Arabidopsis thaliana: one gene and its partner. Each later gene encodes a partner of the first gene's protein in a complex. Each region holds a gene or a part of one and is shown on either strand. Other genes may lie near its edges.

Region 1 (4,214 bases):
ACGAGGCATATTTAAAACATTACCGGAAGAAATACATGTTCAAATATTCATATACTCCTTTTTTACTTCCACAGCTTCTCAACTAATCGTCTTTATATTGGTGTTGGCCAATGAAACGATGGCAGCAAGCTAATTAGTTCTTTTAAAATTCACAGAGTCGTCAATTTTATTATATACGTTATTACTTGTAAAGGGTGCAAGTTGCAATTTATATAAGTCAGAATTCTACAATTAGTGACCCCCTTTTTAGGACTCTAATTGGTTGACGATTTGATAAGTCTTGTAAGAACATGTTTCCACAGCATTGTACATTATTTCAAACAGTAAAAGTATAATTGAAATCACCTAAGAGAAATTAGAACCAAGAGTATATATATAATACAATTTTCTGTAACGCTCAATCTAGAAACAAGAACCGGTTCGTATTTTTTGGCCAACTCATATACTTTTAACTAATAACTTTTTATGTTTGGAGAAGGCCAAAAACTTCAATATGGTCACACATTCTAGATAAAAACTTTGTGCAGGATTTTTTTACTGAGAAAATACGAACAACTATATATTTGATCCAAAAAAGTTAACATTTGCATTTTAAATTGTACAATTCATACGTTGAGATTTTAGTTTGAATTATAGCAAGTAAAATTAGTATCAGAACCAAATAATGGCAAAAGTAAGTATTATAGAACATATAGGGAAACTAAAGATCAGATTGGAACAAACTTCCTTTATTAAAATAGAGCACAAGAAGAACAAAGAAAAAACAACATCGCAAGAGACAACGCGTAAAACACTTATCAAAGATCACCATTCACCAGAGGCATGAAGAGACCTCATATGAGAAATTTAGAAGATAGATTTGATAACTTATTAGATGCATGGAATCAAGGATAAAGAGCTCCATCATCAGTTGGATAAAGGACGAACATGGACTCCAATTTTGTGGAGCAGAACATCGGCTCTTCCATGGAAACCAACGATCTTGTGGCCTTCCTCTTTGAGTTCGAAGACTGTGCCAGCTTCAAGTCCAAAGGGAGGAGACGTTTGCTTATTAGTCTTGAACCTGAGCATAGTTATGACTGAGCCATCACTCCCAAAGATTTTATCATAAGTGCCATCGACTGCGGTGATGTATTCACTTGGATAGTCAAGTACGAACTGCAGTTATTGGAAACCAAATAAAACAATTGAATACATTATGATGGAAACCGGAAGAGAATTTGAATTCTCTGATGTATAATTTTTACATTCAACAAAAAGAGCAAAGAAAGTATTATACCTCTTCGAATCCGAGTAGAGTACTCTTTCCATGTTCTTCTCCTGTGACCTCCTCAGGGCTTTTGTCGTACACAAACTTAACAGCTGAGATTCCATCTTGGGCTTGTCCAACGTACACCTTCTTAACCCCAACGTAAGCACCATCATCCCATACAGTTCCGTCATCACTACCAAATGCCGTTAGCTGCTTGGCAGGAGTCAACGGAGTTGTAGTAGTCAACGGAGCAAAGTAAGCCCCAAGAGAATTAAGATTGCCCCCGGCAGACCCATGAAAGCCAATGATCTTCTTGTCTTTAACTTGTAGAGTGAAGTGAGTACCCTCATCGGATCCAATGACATCAGAAGTCTTCTTGTTGGAGATGAACTTAATTCCTTGAATGATACCTTCAGGGCTATACCAACCTTCTACAGAAACTAGATGTTCGTCTGGATGGTTAATCACAAACTGTAGAAATAGATCAAGATGAAAATGTCAAAACTTCAAAATATAACAGTATACATATAGAAAGAAGAAGATTAATGGGCAAGGAAAATATAGGAACCGGATCAGCTGGGAGAACACGGCCTTTGGTACCACGAAGAGGAGCTTGTTCGGGTTGTCCGTTCTTGACATAATCAAACTGAACATATTGAATTCCGTCTATGCCTGCTGCGAGCTGAATCTTGGTCACGGCGTCATGTGTCGATCCATCGTCCCATAGGTTGGCTCCTTTCCCTCCTTGTGCTTCCACCTTTTGGGCCATCTTCTGCTTCTTGATAGTACTTACGAATTTCTGTAGTTGCAAAAATAAATTGTTAATATCTACTATTAACCAATTTTTACATAATAGAGAAGAATAGAGATAAGACCTTTTAAAGAGAGTAGATTGTTATCGGTGCTATGATCAATTAAAGTGAATTGTATGTTTATTTATATTGACTTCTTGATATTGATCGTACTAGATGAAATAATAAGGGAAATAATAATTTATTCTTTCGTGATCCACGAGGCATATTTATATAAAAAGCATTACTGGGAAAAACGCATGTTCATATACATTTTTTTTTTTAGATAATGAAAATATTCATATACTTCTACTTGCACAACTTCTCAACTAATCGTCTTTATATTGGCGTTGGCCCATTAAACGATGGCAGCAAGCTAATTCATTGTTTTAAAATTTAAAGAATCGTTTATCAATTAGATTATGTACGATTAATTATTTGTAAAGGGCTAAAGTTGCAAGTTGCAACATATATATACGTTCTCCTTATTAAGAGTCTAATTGGTTAAGATTTGGTAATTATTGTATGAACATGTTTTAAAGCCTTAATCATAATTTAAAAACAGTAACGTTTAATTCAAATCACCGAAGATTAATTAGAAGTTTAGAACCAAAGAGGAGACTAGATATATCATACAATATTCCGTAAAAAAAATCTAGATACAAGAACCGGATCATATGGATCTAGCCATAAAGAATACTCCAAAATATCACAACTAGTTTTAATAACTCTTAGGGAAATTTACGAATTCCTCTGAATTCAAAACTGCTTTTTTTTTTTTTATAACTGATTTATGAAATATTATAAAATTTTGCGAAGAATATTTCTAAAACAAATTCTGTATTCGTTGGTAAAAAGATTTATAATTGTATCATTTACACTGGTACTAAATATTAATCTAATTGAGAGACGCTTAATATGATTCATAAATTATCAAAAAAGCTTTCTAGCTCGACTGCAAATGTACCATGGGATATTCCAAGAAGTCGCACGATCGAATGAAAGCTGGTACGTATAAATTATTAAAAGTTGATCTAGATCATCAATCAAGAAAACATCCTATTTAACAAAAACAAAGGTTAACATGTAGTATGTATTTATTTATATAATTATCTGTTGCGAATGTGAAACAATCGATAGAAATTACACTAGCTAAGTAATTAATAATAACTATTTGATCATCTATAACTATATTATTCAATACTTATATGATCAAAATATGTAAGCTAGTGGTTTTTGGTATTTCTTGTTGATGTGTTACCTTTCTAGTTGAAACCTGCATATTTACTTATTATTAAAAAATAAATTCAGTAATAATATACCTACGTCTTGGCATTATCTATTTAAAATGAAGTGGGTACAAACTTATAATTAATATAAATAAAAAAGAGATTTTAATATTGCAATCATGTTCCCATCACTTCATCAGTCATCATAAATAGCACCCCAATAATTTAACTTAGAGTAAACAATAGTTATTGAGATATGAAAATCATTCCAAGATAGCAACAGCCAGCCAACAGTGGACTTTTGAAAAATTAAAACAAATACGTAAACAAAATTAAACTCAACCATAATCATGAATATTTTGATGAAGATATACCTTTCCAGTCTTCGATCTACGTTCGTGCGTATTGAGCTTATCGTTCTTCTCGTTCTCGATCGTCTTCGCACACAAGGCCAAGAATATATATATATTTTTTTTAATGGGAAAAAAATACCAAATTTACGTTTTGTTTTGCATGTGAAGGTACTTTAGTTTGACTCTTTTTGTCGAGTTATTGCTTCCATTCGTTAAAATATTTTTTTCAAAATACTACAAAATGGAAAATTTATGACAAGCAAATATATAAATTCTTGCCAAAAAAGTTTTTTTCTTTGTTTTTAAAATGATTGACAACATTTTATCTTTTGACAAAAAAAAAGACAAAATTTTATCTAATAAAGGTTACAAATTAAACAGCTTTTATTTACGAATTAAGGTTACAAATTAAACACTTAGAGAGTGGGCTCGGTTAGCCTACCTTAACCTTCCTCATTGCCCGCATAGGTTCTACTCCACCAGACCAATTAAGTCCCACCAGATTCACACTTATGAATCTTAAGAGAAGACCTTGATAAAAACACACACACACACACTGACACACACATGAATCACTAACATGAGTGAG
Region 2 (4,919 bases), on another chromosome or scaffold:
AGATCGGTGTGTTGCTTCAATTATTGAGATTTTTAAATTATACTATTTCAATTTGTATGTTTTAACTTATGTCCAGATTTAGCGTCATTTTTTTCTTATTTAAATAGAAAAAAAATACTTAAACTTATGACCAGATTTAGCGGATGAGATTTGTTTGGTCTTATTATATTTTTATTTTCCTGTCGCTTATGATCCACAAAATCAGATCACTAATGCCCACTATATGTATTTACTGTAATAAAATAATCCCAACTGGTAATGATATTTATTTTCAGTTTGGGAGTATTATATTTTCCCAGCTGGTAAAAGATACTTTATCATATTCGTTTTATAATTATAATTAGCTTATTGTTGGGTCAAAAGAAACCAAAAGGAATTAGCTTATTATTTTAATTCGGTGTCATAAAACGAATCAGTCATATATTTTTACATAATTTATACTTACTCTGTTTCTTTTTGTTTAATTGTTTAGAAAAAAAATTATTTCAAAAATATTGATTTTTTAGATTTTTAATACAATAGTTATTAGTTATAATTGATAAATTGTAAACTTCAATACAAATTAGTAAATATCATTGGTTTAGAGTTATTGAAAATTGTAAATCACAAAAAACAATACATTTAAAAGCAACATTTAATATATTTTCTTAATATTTATGTTTTTTCTAAAAAATCAAACAAAAATGAACAGAAGGAATATAAGATATCGAATAGATTAGAGTAAATCGATAGACTAATGAACTCTCGATAAATTCCAGGACGTGGAAAGAGTTGATAAGATCAATCTTTTATTATAGAGAAAAACTCACTAGAGAAACAGGAAAACATTGCAAATCAAAAACATCAAGATTCCGATTTTGATTCGGTTATAAATTAACTCATGACCATTGTAGAAAACCTGATTGACCCTAAAGATTGAGTTTTAAAAAGACTCAGTAATACTCGTAACCGCGGCTAGTGGACGAGCTAGAGTCGCTGGCGTGGACAGTAGCTGGCGTTGGAGGCACCCAAAATTCACGCATGGGTTCATCGACTGGGTAAACAGTAAGCTCACGGACGTTCATCGGTTGGACAACATTTGTATCGGCTCCAAAAAGAAGATGGGCAAACATTTCTTGCGCCTTCTCGGAGTTGTGACGTCCGTCGAAGAATAGGAAAGACCGTTGGTACTCACATAGCTTCGAATGCACGTTAGGTAAACCGCAACCATAAGCATCGTGAGATCCAACTCCGCAGCACGATGCGTTCGTGACGAAAAACCCTAAGAATGACAAATATTAATGACTTGGTATTAGAAGTTATAAAACTAAAACAAATGAAATTAAACCATGATAATTAACCAACTCACGGAAGTTTTGGTTCCTCTGCGTCCTAGTAAGAACGGCATTGTAGAAATCAAAGACGGTGAATTGGAAAGGAGCTGATGCAGGAGAGTTTCTAGCCATTTCGTTCAACATCGGTCCAATTTTTTCGTTGTGTTGTTTAGCCAAATCGTTGAGTTTCTCATAGCATTGATCCATCCCGGTGTTGTATTCTTGTCTGACGATGGGTAAGCAACCCAATGGAGCTAAGGTTTGGATCACGAATTTACTCGCTCCTGATGAATACAACGCGCTAATATCGTTCTTTAACTTGTTGGTCACGGAAGTAACAAAAGCTTGTTGAGCAGATGCATCAGCGGTAGGGTTGTTCTTGGTGAAATTTAAGTAATCGTTTGCACCAATGTATATCATAAATACTGACTTTGCCACGAAATCATCGTTCCAATTTGCTGCTTTCATTTGATTGAATTTTTTCACTTGTTGATTCAGAGTCATCTAAAGAACCAAAAAAGAGAAAAAGACAAAAATTAAACCAATATTATAAGTGCAATTAAAGTAAAGCTTATTGATATTAAGTCACATGCTTTTCTGTGAAGTAAAACAAAAAGAATCCCGCTTAGTATGACCGGGTCAATAATAGACAGATATAATTGATTTTCTTTGAATTAGGTGTTGACTATAGATATATACATGACTCTTATATAATAAGAAATTAAGTTTACTTACAGATTCCACCGGAGCTCCGAGTAGAGTAGCACCTTCGACGGCGAAACTAGCTCCACGTGAGACATTGACGTTCGGTTGAAGCGCCGGCGCGATCGCGAGCGGAATCTTCATGAATTTAGCTGCATTTTGTATTTTAAAAATATTTTAGTTTTTCATATAATATCAAATCATTCCTTGTACTACATCTCCGAATCTGTTGACGAAAATAATAAATAAAATTTCATAGAATGTGTCCCGAAAAGTGAATAGCCGCTGAACCAATGCATTTATAATCTTTTTTTTAATCATACTATTTACTATTTTTTAAGTAATTCACTAGTAGCATACTTAAAATGCATTTATAAATACTACTGTTTATGATTATTTTTACGTAATCATACTATTTTTAACATACTTAATGTTTTAAAGATTAGAGTAGGATTCGATTAGAAAAGAAGTCGTACCGAGGAAGTCCGGAGTGATGAGGCCGTCGGAGAATTTGCCGTTGGGATCATCTCGAGATTTTCCGTACGGCCAGAAACCTTGAGCGACTAAGGTTTTGGTGAGAGTCTGTTTGTTTCCGGCGTCGAAGTTGGAGTCACCAAAGGTGAACAAGGCGACCACCGGACTATTCTGTCCGGCGACAGTGATGGGGTTGTGAAAGAGGGTCAATACCAAAATTACACATAGAACACTGACTAAATTACAGTTGTTTGCCATCATTTAGAGAGAGGGAGAAACAGAACTGTGAAAAGAGAAGAAGATTGCTTTTGTGCCTTAGCTCGTAGACCGATTCGTTATATTTATATTGCAAGTACTACAATTTGGCAATGAAAATAATAGTTCATTTTACTATACAAATAATAACGTGTAGCGCGAGGTTCATTTTACTATACACCTATTTAACGCACTAGCAAACGATTATCGATCAATTATATTATATAGTTCGCTTAATCACGTCTGACGCATTACTGGTTTCTCTTCTACTTTATTTTTAATTCTCAACAAAATATCTATTGTTACTACGAGTACCAAGAAAGATCGTGCTTTTTTTTTTTTGGTTCAACAACAACTTACAATTACACAAGAGTCTGAATACACATAAGCTTTAACCCAATCCGGCAATATAGAATACAATTTGGGATCATAATTCAGAAAAGAAAGAGATTCCCTAGCAATTCTATCTGCCACACAATTCCCTTCTCATCGGGTAAAAGTCACTTTAACCTCTTCGAAGTGCTGAAAAGATCGTGCATTTAGAGGCAAGAAGTAGAATTAAACATACAAATTTCACGGAAATATAGGGTGTAAATGGTAACACTAAACCAGATTCAGTAATTTCTGCAGTAACCATTTGCATAAAACTAAATTTTGCTGACTAGCCAAATTCAACAAAAAAATTTCAACACCAACATATACGTAGATATGTTTATTTCTGCTAAAACTTTTGGATAATTTACGAGTACACAACTCGAATTAAAATATTTTTAATATCAAAATACATATCAAATAGATATTTTTAAATAAGTCAGATTATACTGATACGATATATGAATAATATAGATACATAAAATATCACTACCAGAATAGACAAGAGACGAATATGTTCGGATAATTATAGATAATTTGGATAATAATTTTAATAACGTTTAGATAACTTAAATCAATTATTAAAATTTTGCAAAAACAACTCATACCTATGCTAAGATATTCTTTAAAAGATAAATTATAGTAATTTCCTTAATCATCCTCATCATATTATTGATTAAATTACTTGAAAACAATTAAAAAAAACAATTAACAATCTATATTTTATCATCATGTTAATTTTTGAAATTATTTTCTTAATAGTGTTTTGACAAAGATTTTCGTTAATTATTTACATATTTTTAATAGTTCAAATTTAAATAAGAAAGAATAACTCAATTTTGCGTTGACACAATCTTAATAGTATAGGTAATAGCTTAGTTATGTATATATAAATTATAAAAACTTGTGGAGAGTTGTTCCTTAAGATTTACAGTGAAGATTAGAGAAGATTAAGTTTTGAGAGAGTGTCTATATCAAATACAGAAGAGTTGGTCCTTATTCGTTTGTAAGTTCTAGTAATTATCAATTTGATTGGAATCATTAGAACGACAGAAAGGTGAACAATTTTGTTTCTAAAAGAGTGCAGAAACTAGATAAAAATAAAACACATTTGCTTACGTGAAGATGAAGTTTTATATGAAGAACGCCTCATTTGTTTGGTTCATCTATTATCTATATATATGATTTTTGGTTTTATTTCATATGAAAATTAACTGTAAATATAGCCGGCCCCAAAGCCAGATGTATAAACTTATCTTTTCTGGAACTTTATAATTTCTACTTTTTATTTTCTTTGTTGCCAATCATTTCGAATATTACCTTGCAAGAATAATTGCAAACAAAAAAAGAGGGTAAAAAAGGTCTCAAATTGAATCCACTACCTTCTTAAATTGATTCCACCAAAATTTATCATTTTGTTCTAATGGAGTGCATGTGGCCCGAAACTTGTCTAATCTGAGCACAAAGCAGGTCATTGGACACGCTTTGGTTCATATTGTCAGGTTTATCACGTTACTCATTGAGATTTTTCTTATGGAAAAAACAGAGTTGAGGTTACATTATTATTTTAAATCTCAACAAATTAATAACAGCGCATTTCAAATTCCAAGAGCTCGTTCATGGTATAGAGATGGAAAATAGTGAGCTCAAGAACTAAACGAGTTAGATAGATTCACTAGCATCGACGTCGACGTCATGGACTAACGATGATATTCTCATCCATTGGATCCTCCCAAAACTCACGCATAGGCTCATTAACAGGATACACAATGAGCTCACGAACATTCATAGGTTGGATAACAT

What was found. Proteins that work in one complex are often made in the same cells at the same time.
Region 2: PBP1 (region 1) and GLL22 share a complex: the UniProt entries of both Arabidopsis thaliana proteins name them as parts of the PYK10 complex.

Annotation. Positions count from the first base shown.
Region 1 is NC_003074.8:5,577,367-5,581,580, reverse strand, and holds PBP1 (PYK10-binding protein 1), read right to left. Parts: upstream 2,292-4,214; 5' UTR 2,128-2,291; intron 2,107-2,127; exon of another isoform or gene 2,052-2,106; 5' UTR 2,022-2,051; coding exon 1,821-2,021; intron 1,724-1,820; coding exon 1,280-1,723; intron 1,159-1,279; coding exon 907-1,158; 3' UTR 549-906; downstream 1-548. UniProt on the Arabidopsis thaliana protein: Inhibitor-type lectin that may regulate the correct polymerization of BGLU23/PYK10 upon tissue damage. Activates BGLU21, BGLU22 and BGLU23.
Region 2 is NC_003070.9:20,153,616-20,158,534, forward strand, and holds GLL22 (GDSL-like Lipase/Acylhydrolase superfamily protein), read right to left. Parts: upstream 2,906-4,919; 5' UTR 2,751-2,905; coding exon 2,492-2,750; intron 2,168-2,491; coding exon 2,049-2,167; intron 1,818-2,048; coding exon 1,349-1,817; intron 1,262-1,348; coding exon 933-1,261; 3' UTR 539-932; downstream 1-538.